2 linked regions of the Oreochromis niloticus genome follow. The protein of the gene in region 1 binds, or shares a complex with, the protein of each later gene. Links are inferred from orthologs where the notes say so. Each region holds a gene or a part of one and is shown on either strand. Other genes may lie near its edges.

Evidence for each region.
Region 2: dnaaf10 (region 1) and pdrg1 share a complex: the UniProt entries of both Homo sapiens proteins name them as parts of the PAQosome complex. The link is inferred for Oreochromis niloticus from reciprocal best matches to the Homo sapiens genes DNAAF10 and PDRG1.

Annotation. Positions count from the first base shown.
Region 1 is NC_031978.2:9,086,770-9,094,512, reverse strand, and holds the start of dnaaf10 (dynein axonemal assembly factor 10), read left to right. Parts: upstream 1-4,707; 5' UTR 4,708-4,794; coding exon 4,795-4,980; intron 4,981-6,071; coding exon 6,072-6,172; intron 6,173-6,424; coding exon 6,425-6,555; intron 6,556-6,678; coding exon 6,679-6,780; intron 6,781-7,743. Other genes in the region: RNA-binding protein PNO1, read right to left, coding at 1,205-1,272, 1,884-1,954, 2,466-2,583, 2,723-2,783, 3,110-3,193, 3,307-3,453, 4,223-4,420. UniProt on the Homo sapiens protein: Key assembly factor specifically required for the stability of axonemal dynein heavy chains in cytoplasm.
Region 2 is NC_031970.2:37,017,999-37,025,197, forward strand, and holds the start of pdrg1 (p53 and DNA damage-regulated protein 1), read left to right. Parts: upstream 1-3,934; 5' UTR 3,935-4,008; coding exon 4,009-4,092; exon of another isoform or gene 4,093-4,136; coding exon of another isoform or gene 4,137-4,151; intron 4,152-4,699; coding exon 4,700-4,775; intron 4,776-4,933; coding exon 4,934-5,008; intron 5,009-5,102; coding exon 5,103-5,183; intron 5,184-6,745; coding exon 6,746-6,828; 3' UTR 6,829-7,199. Other genes in the region: uncharacterized protein fam217bb, read left to right, coding at 6-73, 154-1,474. UniProt on the Homo sapiens protein: May play a role in chaperone-mediated protein folding.

The sequences.
Region 1 (7,743 bases):
CTTCTTCTCCCACTTCTTTTTTTCTGTCACAATCAATTCATTTTCTCACCTTCCAACCTACTAACAGGGAGAAACAACATAACTTCAGCCAGATTTTTATTTTCTAGGGAAAATGCTTCCTACTGCAAACAGCATTGGGATAGCTTTTTGTTTTGCTTTTGGAGGTCAACTGCTGGTTTGAACAACAGTTTTCAGTCAAGAGATGTGCATCTGGAGTGCTCTATTTTTCCCCTATCCCAAAGCTCTGCACGGCTTGGGCCTCCCTGTGCTTGCATGACATGGAAGTATATTTTTTGTTGTGCATGTAGATCAATTTTTTGAAATAATCCTCTTGTTTACACATGGATGGTGATGTTAATATATTTAAGAATTTAATGGTATACAATATGGATGTTGCCAAACTTTGGTAAATGTACACATATTATGAGAGGTAATCCAACTGAACTGAACTACATGTAACTTTTTGTATTTTACCCGGGTCAGCGAGATGCTTCGATTCCAGTAAAAGTTGCATATCTGATCCTGTCTCAAACTGCCACACACTGTACTCAGCTTAAAGGGGAAAATTTGATGTTTTTTTTTTTTTTTTTTTCCTTTTGTATATAAGTATTTGTTAAATGCAGTTCTGGCTCTCTGTTCTCTGTATAGTTCAGACCGCGCTTTAGTTTGTAAGTGCTACTTTTCTCTGAGGGACTTGGGTTCTTTTTAGTTTGTGTGGGGATATGAGAAGATTTAAGTTTGAGAACTTTTTTTTTTTTCCTTTTTCTGCATGCTGCATCTTATGCTGTGGGACTGTTGGAAACTTGATACTGTATGAAAAATAAAATTTAAATAAACTTTGAAATGTTGAAAGTATTCTATTTGACTGTCCTTTTTTTTTAAAATTTTAAACCTGACCAAGATGTGACTGACTAGACTTGTATCTTCATTCACCAGGAAAGAAGAGTACACACATGCTTCGTTTAGTTTTTTTTAAACACATTTGCACAAACACATACTTTCAGATTCTCTTAATGCACGTATCATAATTTTATTAATCATATTTGATACCAGCTGATCCAGAAACCATGAGATCATTACAGAAGAACCCAAGGTATCAGTCCAAAGGGCAGTGACGGTCTCAACTCAACACAGATCCCACATAGGAATTCCACCAGCCAATAGGGGAAGATAAATACATATGGTAACCAATCATGGTTCAGGTTTAGAATCTCTCTGCAGTCCTGCTAGCCACCACTCTGATGTTGCCATAGACCTTTGAAGGTGGACTTCCTGTAGGGGCAAAAGGGATTTAAAGGTCACTTCTCAGCATTAATGTGTAAACAAAGAGTTCAATTCCAAATATGGTTAGTGCTAGATTCGATGGATTTGCTGTCAGGTGACTGATGCTCTCAACACTGGAAAAGGCTGCACAGCAGTTAAATAGGTCAGTTCTGGACTTGGCTAAACTGTTTGTTCAATGTTTTAGGGTTGTTTTCTTTAAGCTGACTGTCAGCTTATAAAAAAAAAAAGTAAGAAATTAGATTTTTGCACTCCTTACGGAAAACAGTGTTACAACAGGTCTTTTTAAACATTCCATGGTTTCATCCCAATGCTTGATTGCCGAGCCTCTTTTGATTTAGGCACTTTTACTGCTGCATTTAAATATATATCAGATCAAAACTGAAATCTATAAAATAAGAATTCACAGGGGAGTCTTATAATCTAAATTTCAATGTTTAAATGAGTACCTCAAAGTGAATAAATATCACCATTAGTACTTGTACTTCTCAGGGAGTAACGGTATTTGAGACAGACTGTCCACCCAGCTCATCCAATAAAGCACCACCTCAATAGCATCAACCACATGATATACTGTGCTATAAAAACAATGCTCGTCTTACCTAAGATTAAGTTGCATATCGCTGTCCGGGCCATCTTGATATTCTGGAAAGATCCTAATACGTGAACTTTTCTGTAGACAGACAAAGCAGAGTGTTAGCCGTTTCAGTGAAAAATGAATAACAGGCACATAACTAGAAAACATACTGCAGGTATGGATGTATGCAAAAGGTTGTGTATATTGTCTTTAGAGTACCCACACAAACTTCTGCGTGAGAGGGTAAAATATAATTTGTGTGAGGAAAAACTGTTAGTAAGTAATATATTATGATAGTATGTTTATGCACTTATTGACAAAACAAATCGGGCCAGTTTATTTTATTTTTTTAAGTTTAATTACAAAGAAGTAAAGCTCTTCTTTACAGAGTTTCTTTGCAAGATCTGTATTGGAGTTCAATATTTATCATGACTAAAACAATGCAAGAGAAAAAAAACCAATCAAAATGTTTGATTAATGCTGCAGTGAAACTGTGTCAACTTCAAAAAGGTGGTTAAGGAAAATTAATAAGGGATTAATAAGCAAATGATGTGGAAAAATAATTAGTAATTTTACTGTAACATGTCAAAATACTGGATTTACTCACGTGTCTGCAAGCACAATGCGAGTCTTTGTGACGTTTTCAATGGTGAATTTGGTTTTTCCTCCCTTCCCTGCTATTCTTCCAATAGCTCTGGATAAGTGGTCTCCCTTCAGAGGTTTCACTGCCAAAACATGGGAGAACAATTAAATGGATCTCGAGAGGTTGAACATTGTATTCTTCACGCAGCAGGGAAAGAGAACTGGTAAGAAATTATGACGACTCTAACAGCAGCCACAAGTGCTACGGAGGTGGAAACTCACCGTCTGTGACATCAAAGCTTTCAAGGAAGAGCTCATCTAATCTAATGAGAGCCAGAGCATCCTGAGGGGAGAGAGTGTGAATGTTACATCACGAGTGACAATCCAGCAAGGCTCAAAATTAACAATCAAATACTGTCACAGCTTCTAAAGATAATTTACACATTTAGACAAAGCAAAAACAACTACAAGTCACTTTATGGAGGCTACTGACAGGGAGGAAACTTTTATTGTATTAATAGTAGATTATATAACAACACTGAGCTGAAGTAAGTGTCAGTCAAGTGTCTCTAATACTGTCCCAAAACTTGACTTTTGGCTTGACAAATACACATTCAGTACAAAAGCAGTCAGGCAGAATTAAAACATGCAGAAAACTCATGTACTTACTTCAACCTGAAATCCGAGAACAAACGCTTTAACAAAATCAGCCGCTCTTTGGAGTGAGGTGATGTCCTGTGTTTCTTTACATGTCTGAAAGAAAGAAGGCATATTAGTTATATCAGAGATGAAATACTGTATATAAGCATTGTAATAAATAGGCTCAGTCAACTCACCAGAGTCTACATGAAATGGGAGAAACCTACCTTGATTTCAACATTCCTTGTTTTGAGGTTGAATCTAACTTGAAGTTGTAGGTTCTCTACAATGGGAGTGAAAATCTTCAGCCAGTTATCTTTCAGCGGTGTGTATCTGTGAGCTGGAACTGGGATTTTGCGCATCTCATCTGATCCCTTAGAAAACAAACAAACAAATACACAGAACATTTCTGATCATACGGTGTAATGTTAGCAAAACTATTCTATGACATTTGGTTAGGATTTATCAGAAAACATCTTTGCTTTGTAACCCGAAGTCAAAGCAATGCTGTAACGAATGTAACATGTTTACAATTGTTTAATGTGGTGATTCTTTTTTTCCGCTTAACTGTCTGATCTTTAAATCATCAGGAAACAGTGAAAAAAATTGTCATCATAACAGAAACCACTAATCCACAACAGAAGGAGAAAGAGAGATTGCTGAGTACATATAAACAGCAACCCCGGGTTTCTATTGTGCCTGACGGTGCATTTAATTACTGAAACATTCATATGCACTCTTAATTTCAAAGTTTCTAATTAATCCTCGGAGTACTGGACTGATATTAACCACGAGTCATTTATGCGTTTTGTTTTCCTAACTGTATTTTTACTTTAGTAGCCAGTGCTTTAAACAGTCAGAGTACTGTGTAGTGAAATCATAAGTATTATAATAATAGTCACGACCTACACACAGTATTTGTTGTGTATTTGAATATTCTACTTGGGCAACCACACTACCACAACAGCAGCTTTATTTAATGTATTCACATGACTACACCGCGCGTGCGCATAATAGTTAATGGTTCGGTCGGGGAAGCTACTTTGTAAACATTACAAATAACATTAAATGTACACTTATTGGTATTTATTTGACAAAACCGAGAGAATACACAGAGTCTATATATACTCATGGTGTAGTTACCCGTAATTTGTCTCCTGAAATGGGCGGAAACTGCGGTCGTTTGCTTGCCACGGGCTCCTCTGTGTCCATGCTCGCTCCATCTTGTTCACGTTTTCGCTTCTGAGACTTTTTCGACTTAACCTTTGTGAAAGAATCGGCGTCATCTTTGCTCTCCTGGGGTGCTACAGCGTCCGGGACTGGGTTTTTGTCGTTGTCCATCTCGAAAAATGTTTTTAAAATCAGACTTTGAGTAGAAACCTAAGCAGACTGTGAACGGAGACGCGTGAGCATGTCCTCGTGGGACGAAAAGGACCCAAACAGCCACATCAACGACGCCTGTAGATTGGGAGGTAACAAAATTATATTATTATAACTATCTAGGATGTCTCTAGTTGTCTTTAGAATTGAATGCAGGCTGTTTATATATTTTTTCATATAATTTTTGTACCAAAATACATAAATATTTTATTGAAAGATACACATTTTGTCAGGCATCTGTTAAGGCAGCCGCTTGCTCAGCTGTACCTAGTTTGTTTTGGGAGAGAGCGACAGTTGTCTACTTTTTCACGCCGATACCAGTGTTTCTCAGAAAAATGTCATCGCCGCTGTCGAAGCCTCAGATTATTACGCATATTCAGAAGAGTTTGAACTATACGGTTTTTGACAGTAAATGGATTCCCTGCAGCGCGAAGTTTGTCTGTCTGGGAAACTTTCCTAGTGGAACCGGAGTGATTCAAATATATGAAGTTCACCAAGGCGAGGCTCAGCTCATAAAGGAGGTACATTAACGTTCTACTCTTGTGGGCCGTTGTTCCTTTCTTTTCTCTCAGAGATTTCATACAAACGGCGTACAGAGCTAGCTAGCCCGTCGAAGATTTCTAGAAAAGTCTGGCAAGGATGTTTCCATGACAACAATTTGAAGGCAGCCAGTGCCCGTTCAATATTGTTCTACTGTAGATTATCCTAGGGTTGGCATACTTTATCCAGATTATACTTAAAAAGCAAATACTACAGCATCACTTGCAACGAGTAAAATATTGCTATGCTGCCACCAATGTATCGTACTACAAACAAAACTTACTGTTGTAGTTTTGCACCATGGCATGTGTGCCAGGCATCAAGATACAGATAAAGGAGAGCAAACGTAACAAAACGTGCATAAACATGATTCTTTTATACTTATCTTGCCTGTTTGTTTCAAATGTAGGTAGGTCATTTTGCTGCTAAAGCTTGAACCAAGAGTGCCTGCATGAGACGGTGCTGTGAAAAAGTATTTGCCCTCTTCCCAATTTCTTATGTTCTTGCATATTCGTCACGCATGTTTCAAATGATCAAGCAAATGTTAGTGTAAGACAAGAACGTCTTAGTTAAGGTCAGTGTTCATGATTCAATGATAAGAAAGAGAATCGGTAAAAATGGCATCTATGGGAGAGTTCCGTAGTGAAAACCAAAATGAACACAAAGGGCCATCTCACATTAGGTAAAAAACAAAAACAACAAATTGATGTTCCCCATTATTCTGTGAACTGACAAAGCGAAGTTGAACTTTCTGGGAGGTTTGAATCATGTTACATCTGGCGTAATACTAACACACCATTTCATAAGAGAACATCATACCAAACAATCAAACATGGTGGTGTGATGGTCTGAGGCTGTTTTGCTGCTTTTGGCCTGGACGACTTGAATTAAAAGATTCAACCAGAAAATCCTAAAGGAGAATGCCTGACTGTCAGTTTATGCCCTGAAGCTCAAGCTCACTTGGATCATGAAAATACATTTTCACTGCACTCCTTCCACATTGCTTTTCCATTATATGTTGAATTGTCCCATTCACGAAACTAAACAAACTCTTACCTCTGATATGTTTCAGGTAGAGAAACCTAAAGCTATAAAGTGTGGAACATTTGGGGCCACGTCTCTTCAGCAAAGACACATAGCAACGGGGGATTTTGATGGAAATCTCAATATATGGTATTGTATACACCAATTATCAGTGTTGTGCCTGTAATAAGAAGAATCAAACTGGGAAAGCAAGGCTTAAATTCTATTTTTAACCAAAAAACATTTCTTATGTTTACTGTAGATCTTATATTCAACGCTGGTTCAGTCCCAAAGACAGTTATAATTCGAATGGAATTAAAAAAAATGTAAAGGAAATGATATTTTAAAAATACGTTACGTCGACATTAGACTTATTCAGTACTGATGTCCTGTGGTTCACAGGAATCTAGAGACCCCGGATGTGCCCGTATATGCTGTAAAGGCCCACAAAGAGATAGTGAATAGTATTGATGGTGTTGGTGGTCTGGGGATTGGTGATGGTGCGCCTGAGATCGTCACCGGAAGCAGAGATGGTAAGAGCATTTAAAAAAACAAACAAAAAAAAACTAGATTGTAATTACTTTTCAGTGCAATGATAGTGGGAAAGTAAAGTACATGAAAATAAGACTAGATCCTACATGATTGTCTTTTAATAGGTACAGTAAAAGTGTGGGATCCGAGACAGAAGGATTCCCCTGTAGCCAACATGGAGCCAATGGAAGGAGAAACCAAGAGGGACTGCTGGACTGTTGCTTTTGGTTTGTAAAATATTCTTCAGAAACTAAGTTGATAGTGCTGGTGCTTCACCTACTTCCATGGTGTGCAGAAAAGAACATGAAGTCTGAAGAGGTTTAGGCTCCTGCAATAGTTGTGGTAGTATAAAGGACACTGTTACAGCTTGTGGCCCTTAACAGGGTCCTCACAGAACATTATTTTCTTAAGGGCTGAAGTACCAACATCCACAAGTAAAGTTTAAAAACATGGTCTCCACATTATCTGTATCCACAGGGACAGGAATGTAATGCATTTGTTTGATAGTGATAAGAACTAATACAGTCATGGGTTATATTAATACTAAGAAGCAGTAAAAAGATACTTATCATATATTCTATTGTGTGCAATTTCAGGGATTTCTTTATACCTAGTAAAGGGGATTATTTCTCTGAATTTCAAACAGCAGAACACAGCCCAAATGCTAGCTAGTCCCTTGGTCAAAGGTACAATGTAAGCAGAGAACATTCAAACTCCAGAGAGAAGCACCCTGTTCTGGGTCAGGCAAAGGACACTCTTGCTGTGAAGCAACAATGCTAACCTATCAGCCACCATAAATAAAGCTGCTGTAATGCACTGCATATAACTGATAAGACATGACAAACAAGGCACGGTGGTTAGCACTGTTGCCGCACAGCAAGAAGGTCCTGAGTTCAATTCCACCATCAGGCCGGGGTCTTTCTGTGTGGAGTTTGCATGTTCTCCCCGTGTTTGCGTGGGTTCCCTCCGGGTACTCTGGCTTCCTCCCACTGTCCAAAGACATGCAGCTTGTGGGGATAGGTTAATTGAATAATCCAAATTGCCACTAGGTGTGAATGTGTGAGTGTGAATGGTTGTTTGTCCCTGTATGTTGGCCCTGCGACAGACTGGCGACCTGTCCAGGGTGTACCCCGCCTCTCGCCCTATGACAGCTGGGATAGGCTCCAGTGCCCCCCACGACCCTGAAAAAA
Region 2 (7,199 bases), on another chromosome or scaffold:
TGCAGAGGCTGCAACAAAGAAGAAAGCACAAGTCTAACAACTCTTCAGCTAAACGCAATACTTCTCAGCACAGGTGAGGTCGCAGTTTGTGCAAAGTTTGTGTTGTTCGGTGCTGTCTCAGTGCTGAGATAATAGATTTGCTTTGCCTTGTAGCACTCACAGATCCTCAGAGTCAAAGCCTCTTCCAGTGTCCCCCACAGAGGGCAGGATGGAGCCAAAGGTGCTGCCAGTCACTAAGCGCTCCAGCCACAGACAGCACAAGCATGCGGGGAGCAGAGAGGGCAAACACACAGCAGCCGTCTCCTACCACTGCATGTGTGGTTGCAGTACTGAACAGCTGGAAAGACACTCGCCAGAACTGGAGGTCAGACGCCTGAGTCGCCATGGAGAAGATGACAGTGACACCGACTTGTCTGAGTCAGAGAGACTTCCTGTGTCAGCCTGCAGTCGTGTTCCTCCTCGGCTCGAGCTCAGGCCAGAGGTCATCGAGGCCGAGGACTGCTCCTCTCGCAGCCACAGATCCAATTTGCAGGGCCATGGAGGTTTTGACTTCCCAGACTTCCTCCCTCCACCTTTTAATTCGTGGACCCTGAGTCAGCTGGCTGTTTTCTACAACATGGAAGGCCGAGGTACCCCCCGACCAAGGCCTGTGGGCCCTTTGGAAAGGTATCTGGAGAAGCTGCTGCAGCTGGAGTGGCGTCAGATCCAGACTGTCCAGGAGGAGAGTGGGAAATCAGCAGTATCAGAAGTGATATCCAGCTGTCACAGGTCCCCTGCTGCTGCCACATCACGTCTCAGCTCTCCTAAGTGCATCCTCCAGTGTCAGCGTGCCTTCCCCCTCACTTTCCTCTCCTCCCTGGCTAGTCACTCCGCCCTCCTCTCCAGCTGCGCCTGCACTCTCTGCCGGATCCGCTGCTCCCGCTGTACTGCACCGTGCTGTTGCTCGACTTACAGCCACAACCGTCAGTCCAGACCGAGTGCTGCGCTAGAGCCCAAAATACTCCCCAAAAGGAGCTACAGCGAGAGCCGGGTGCACTCCTCAGACAGGGGCTCACAAGCCCAAAGGTTCAGCAGCCCTGTGCGGACCAACAGCCACCTGAGGAGAATGCAGGCATCAGGAAACATCCGCAACCCTGTCCAAGGTGCCGCCACCAGCCTTCAACACACTGCCAGCGACTGTAATGACGTTGCCTCGAAGGGGGATGTGTGGGACTACAGGATGGGTGGGTTTCGGAGGAGGAGCGGCTCAGAGCAGAGGAGAGGTGGAGGAGACAGGAAACAGAACGGATGGGAGAAAAAACGGAGCGGCTCTGAGTGCAGAAAAGGAGGAGCTGAGAGGAGGAGAGCGGCTAACCTCAAAGAACAGGAAATAAAACCTGATGCTGTCACTGCAATAATAGACAATTTACCAGGATCCAAATATTCTCCTATACAGAGGCCAAGCAGGCCCAAACAGGTGGAGTTTGTCACATAACAGCAGGTTTAGTGATGAATGTGTAATCTGAATGTTACATACTGTCCCCACCTTAAAGTTTTATTATGGATGTACAGTCAGCAAAACTGTTCATTTGTTAATGTGATATTATTTTTCTGTGCTGTGGGGAATGTTTACACAGATATGGAAGAGAGCCGCTGGATATCCAAGTTTGTGTTTTATTTAAAAGAACCCAGATAGCATCATGTACTGTATGTGATCATATGAGGGGATTTTCACTTCAGGTTTATTAGTCTTTTGAATGAAGCAGCAAACATTACCAAAAGTTATTAAAGAATACCAAACAGTCTTGTGAAGATGGTGTATGATGCTGAGCAGGGAGAAAAGGTGAATACTGGACTCGCTGGCTTACTTGTAGGTGGAGAGCGCGGGGTCCAAGAGGTGTGTGATCGAGTGAGGTTCCAACCTCACTCTTGTTAAATAAAGGCAAGTACAGAACATAGACATAAAGTTACGAAGCAGCGAGGCCGGGTTACCTCCATGAGGTAGCTGATGAAATGGCGGAGAGTGCATATTTGCGCTGGCCTTAAGTATTGCCTCGCTGATTGGACGGCAGAACAGGTGAGGAACCAAGGCTCCGCCCACAAAACACCCGCCGCTCAGCTGGATCATGACAGGGATTTCTTCTAATCTGGATCAGACTGAAGGATAAACTGATCAGATTGAATAACTCCTATGAAAGAAAATGACACAAATGTCTGTTCAGATCATTAAACATCAAATGAATTAGACGTTCAAAAACACAAGTCTGGCCATAACTTGGGACAGAAGCAGATATTTCGAAGATGAGTCACTTTTGGTGGAAAACGGAATCGGTAACGCTAATCTTTGGGGCCCACCTATAGACTGTACAGAAAAGATGAAGCTAACTTCCAGGTCTGAAAAGTGAAGTGCCTTACAGGGGCAACTCCTCTGGATGTAGAAAGACTTACAGTTGTATGCACAAAAGAACGTGCACAAATCACTTTTGTTCTTAGCATTGATTTGAATCAATCTAAATCAACATGCTTGGCTTGCTGCTGTAGTCTGCATACTCCTACATTCCCATTTCCCCATATGAGGAAACATACGTACCTCAAGGTGAAGTGGAGAAAATAGTGAAAGCCTGCAACACTAAAAAGGAAGAGAGCAGCGGAAAGTCTGACTGATGAAAGAGATACTGTATAATTGTGTCTGATGAGGAAGGCACATTTCCAAAGTGTTCCCTAAGATGTGATGATGGTTAAAAATAAGGTGAGCTGAAATACTTAAAAAAACTTAGACTTAAAAACAACTTTTTCCACTGAGACAGTCGCTGTGGATTAAGAAAAAAAGGAAGAAAGGTCGGTCTCTTGCTAGTTTCATTGGCCTCGAGGTTGAAAAAAGTTATCTTGGGTCTCTCAAACTTTGTTTCATGAGTGGTTACTTAGAACTGAACTGGATAGGACTCATGGCAAACTCTTCACAACTTTCAAGTGAGTAAGAGTTAAGAATAACACTGGCTGACATATGACCTGGCAATAAATAGGGAAGAGAGCCTGGAATGACTGGAAGCAACCAGCTGTCAGCCTCAAAGTGATGCGAGATGAGCGAATCAATTCCAGTGTGCACACGGCTTGTTGGTCTGTTATGCACAGTCTGAGGTGCCCACATATTAAATCTCCTCAAAGTCATTAATACAGATACAAGCTCTTTGTCCATCTGTTTGAAATGCAGTGAATCCCCTCTCCGGTCTGCTGATATGGACAGGGAGATTTTGTGTTTCATATAGTTCAAGTTATTCTGCAGCAGAGTAACAATGGTAATAGTGGTATATAGTTCAATGAAGGTAAATACAGAGAAAATCATTAGGGAAAACCTGCTGTATCCTGTGAGGCAACTTATCTACTTACTGAGAGAAAAAAAATACAAATGCGAAGCCCAGAGTCTACAGGGGTGGCTCCAAAACGGACCAACAAACAGAGAAATGTACTCAAGAGTGGCTCTAAATTTAGTGTTTGAATATTGCTGTTCATCGGTCCCCATGCAGCTTTAGAGAGTATGAGCCTGAGAAGATTTTACCAAGTAGGTAAAGAAGTACAAAGAGGCAAAATCATCATCAAATCAAATCATTTCTCGCATTGCACAAGTACAGTTACTGAACTCAACTCTTCCACATAACATTTCTACACATGAGATGTGCTGCAGAACGAGCCACTTCTGTGTAATGACATGTTATGTATTTCTGTGTGTTACTGCAGAGTTTAGAGAGCGATTAACCAAAGTGCCCTTGGTCTTCCCTTGTAGATTACAGATTGTATTTACAGCACAAAAAAAACCCTCATAAAAATGGAGAAAAGTGTAAATGAGAGAGGCAAAGTGAATTTTTTTTCTTTCTTACAGATTACTCCTTTATAATGTATAAATGTTACTATTGTAACTGATGTAAACTTCGTAAGCATATACCCATGAAACGGATGGAAATGACCGTGCGGTCCTTGTAGTGTTCAGCCGTTGTTTCACACCGGACATATTTTGGAAGCGGCACTGCAACCATGGACGAGGTGTCCCAGCGTGTTTTGGAGTATTTGACTGAAGTTGAAGAGGCAGCTGAAGATGTTCTCACCACTAAACAGCAGGTAAATAAATACTGAGTTGAGGACGGCCACACGGGAGGATCGTTATGTACGTTACAGAGGTATGCTAACGTAGCCAGTGACGTCAGCTAGCTAAGTTGTCAGCTCATGGATGAGACAAAAACACATTTTTTGTCATTTAAAAAAAAATATATCTTGACACATTTTTTGATGTTTTGTGACAAATTTTCTCTCTGGATACCTCAAGGTATCACAGTAGAACTTAACAGTGGGCAGTTTGACTCGGGGTGACAAATTCCCGGCGCTCAGGTTTCACTGTCAGCTCCTGTCATCGCTCATCACCAAGATGCTAGTGGAAACCACTTTAATAATATAAAATACTAAGATATCAAAAATGTGTGGACATTTTTCACAGATACAACTTCTTTGTCAAATTATGAAGCTGCTATTTACAATGAAAGATTTTGTTTTGAATTCCATATCAAAGCAAAATAGATGTACATTCACTGGCGGTCTCATTGTTTGATCCAACTGTGTATATATATATATATATATATATATATATATATATGTGTATGTGTATGTGTGTGTGTGTGTGTGTGACATACTGTAATATGTTGCTAACTAATGCCGTCTGTTGTTCTTCTAGATTGTGGACCTGGACACAAAGAGAAACAGGAACAGGGAGGCACTTAATGCACTGAAACATGATGTAGCAGATTCAGGTGAGTACCCTCTCCCAGCAGAGCTGTGCCACAAAAAGAGTGAAACAAGAGAAGCTGTTAAAAGCACAAAACCTCACAGTGAAAGGAGAGCCAGGTGTAAAGTTTATTTTATGTGTGTTTATGCATGGAATGACATAAAACGCTGCTCACATTTGCAGAGAAAGTCAAGGTTTGCTTGGGAAGCATGTTTATCAAATTCCCCAAAGCCAAGACAAGAGAGATGATTCAGAAAGGTAAAACATTACCAAGTCATTGAATCTTGTACATATACAATTTTATTAAGAGCACATCACCCTAAACTCTTTTGATCTTTGTTGTGGTGTGTAGACCAGGAGCAGCTGGACAAAGAGATAAATGATCTTCGCAAAGGGCTGAAAGCAAAAGTGAATCGTCTCAATGAGATGCAAGGTAAGTAAGCTAGTGGCTTACTATAATAATACCTGTTAACAGTTAACCTGTTTAGTTGCAAAATGTTCCTCCAGTTATTTCTTTTTAGTACCACTTAGAATTCCAGCCTTTTGTTGCCCCGTCCCATCATGTGTTGCTGCCATCAATTTCAAAATGAGCTAATATCTTTCATGAAACGGTAAAATGTGTCAGTTTAAACATTTGACCTGTTTGATATTTTATACTGTGAATAAAATGAAACAGAAGGCAAATCAGGCAAACAATTAGTTTTTATTCACACTTTACACAGTGTCCAAACTTTTTTGGAATTGTGGTTAAATTGAATGCATCACTCTGAGCAGATGTTTGTAATGTTAATAGTATTCCACACATAGAAAAGTATTTAAGACACGCCAGTTGATTTGTGTCATCATCATAGTTAAATATGAAGAATATATGAAGGAAATCACTTTCATTCTGGTTGTATAGAAAAATAGAGGCCTCGGAGGCTCTTACTAGTACCCAGAAAGAAGCAATCCAGAAAGTCTATTTGAAAGATAGATTTGATCATAAACTGCGATTGGGAAAGAACCAAACATTGCACACAATAAAGTTCAATCGATAAATTAGATTTTATGAGGGTCCCTGGATCACAGCCTCATAAAATGCCAAACGGTTTTAGAAGGTGTGCAGTATGTTTGGGATCTTTCACAACCACTAACACCCAAACCAACTCTGAACACAGAGACACTGTGCTGCATTTAATCCTTACATACTGGTCATATTTTCATACCTAGTCTGGTCTGGGTCCAGAATATCTTCATAATGAGCGTCTACACCAAATTTTCAACTACAGATTGGTTTTGGAAGTATAAATAGCTACTAATATATTTTATATATTTTATTAGCACTTTACTAGTCCCTAAGGACCCCAAAGCACTTTACACGTTCAGTCATCCACCCATTCACACACATTCACACACTAATATATTTTAGGTCATTTTAGGAAAATCAGAATGACAGAATGACACAGATTAAATAGTCATTTAGGTTTGAAGCAGTCATAAGTCAGTGTAGCAGATAGCAGGATGTGTGGAAAGTCTGAAAACATAATCACATTTTTTAAGTGTTTTATGTGAAGTCGGATTTTAGTAAATGCTGTCTGTAAAAAAATAAAAAAAATAATGCCATGACATCTGGAATATTCCTGCAGTCTCCATAGCAAAAATGTCTTGTCTGGTCTCCAGTAACTTATGTTTGTACAGGAAGTGCAGTGTTATCTGATGGAGGTTTCATTGCTTTGATACATCATTAAACTCGCAGAATTTCTCCCAGTGGTTCTGTTGTTGGAAGCAGGAGAGGAAACTGAATCCAATCTGCCTTCAGTCAGATACCTTTAGATTCAGAGGAATAAGCAGGGAGGGGTTATGACTCAGTCATTATTCCTGTGGGAAGTCCTTCATATTATTACTGGGAAAAGTCCTCAGTCACAGTGATCTCCGTTGTTCTGTTCCTACGACTACATTTATTTTAAGGCAGTCTTATATGATCTCTTAACCTTTTTTTGTGTCTTACTGTTGCAGGAAAACCTGAGCTGAGAGGCTACAGTCTTTCTCCTCTGTCCACTGATGAAATCAGAGCTATTAACAGCCTTTTAAAGAGATGACCGGAATTCAACAAATCAATGCATCTGGGGACAAATGCCACATGTTGACATGTTGACTGCAGCACTCAGTTGTTCAAATAGGAGCACAATGTGCCAGAGCTTCAAATACACATTTGTTAAGATGAGACACACACACAAATTACAGTAGGAGGATTAGGTTGAATGATGGCTCGAATGTCAGCTCAGCCTGGGAAAAGAGGAGATTCGTTGGTGTGGTTAGAACTTTATCTTACTAAAGTATATTTTATACAACCATATTAAAGAATGGAAGAAGTTCATGGTCTTCCCAATTACTTCTTTAAACAATAATCAGGTTTTTCTTTCTGCAGAGAGCTTTACAGTTCAAAAACAGGTCCAAACACTCAAAAGAT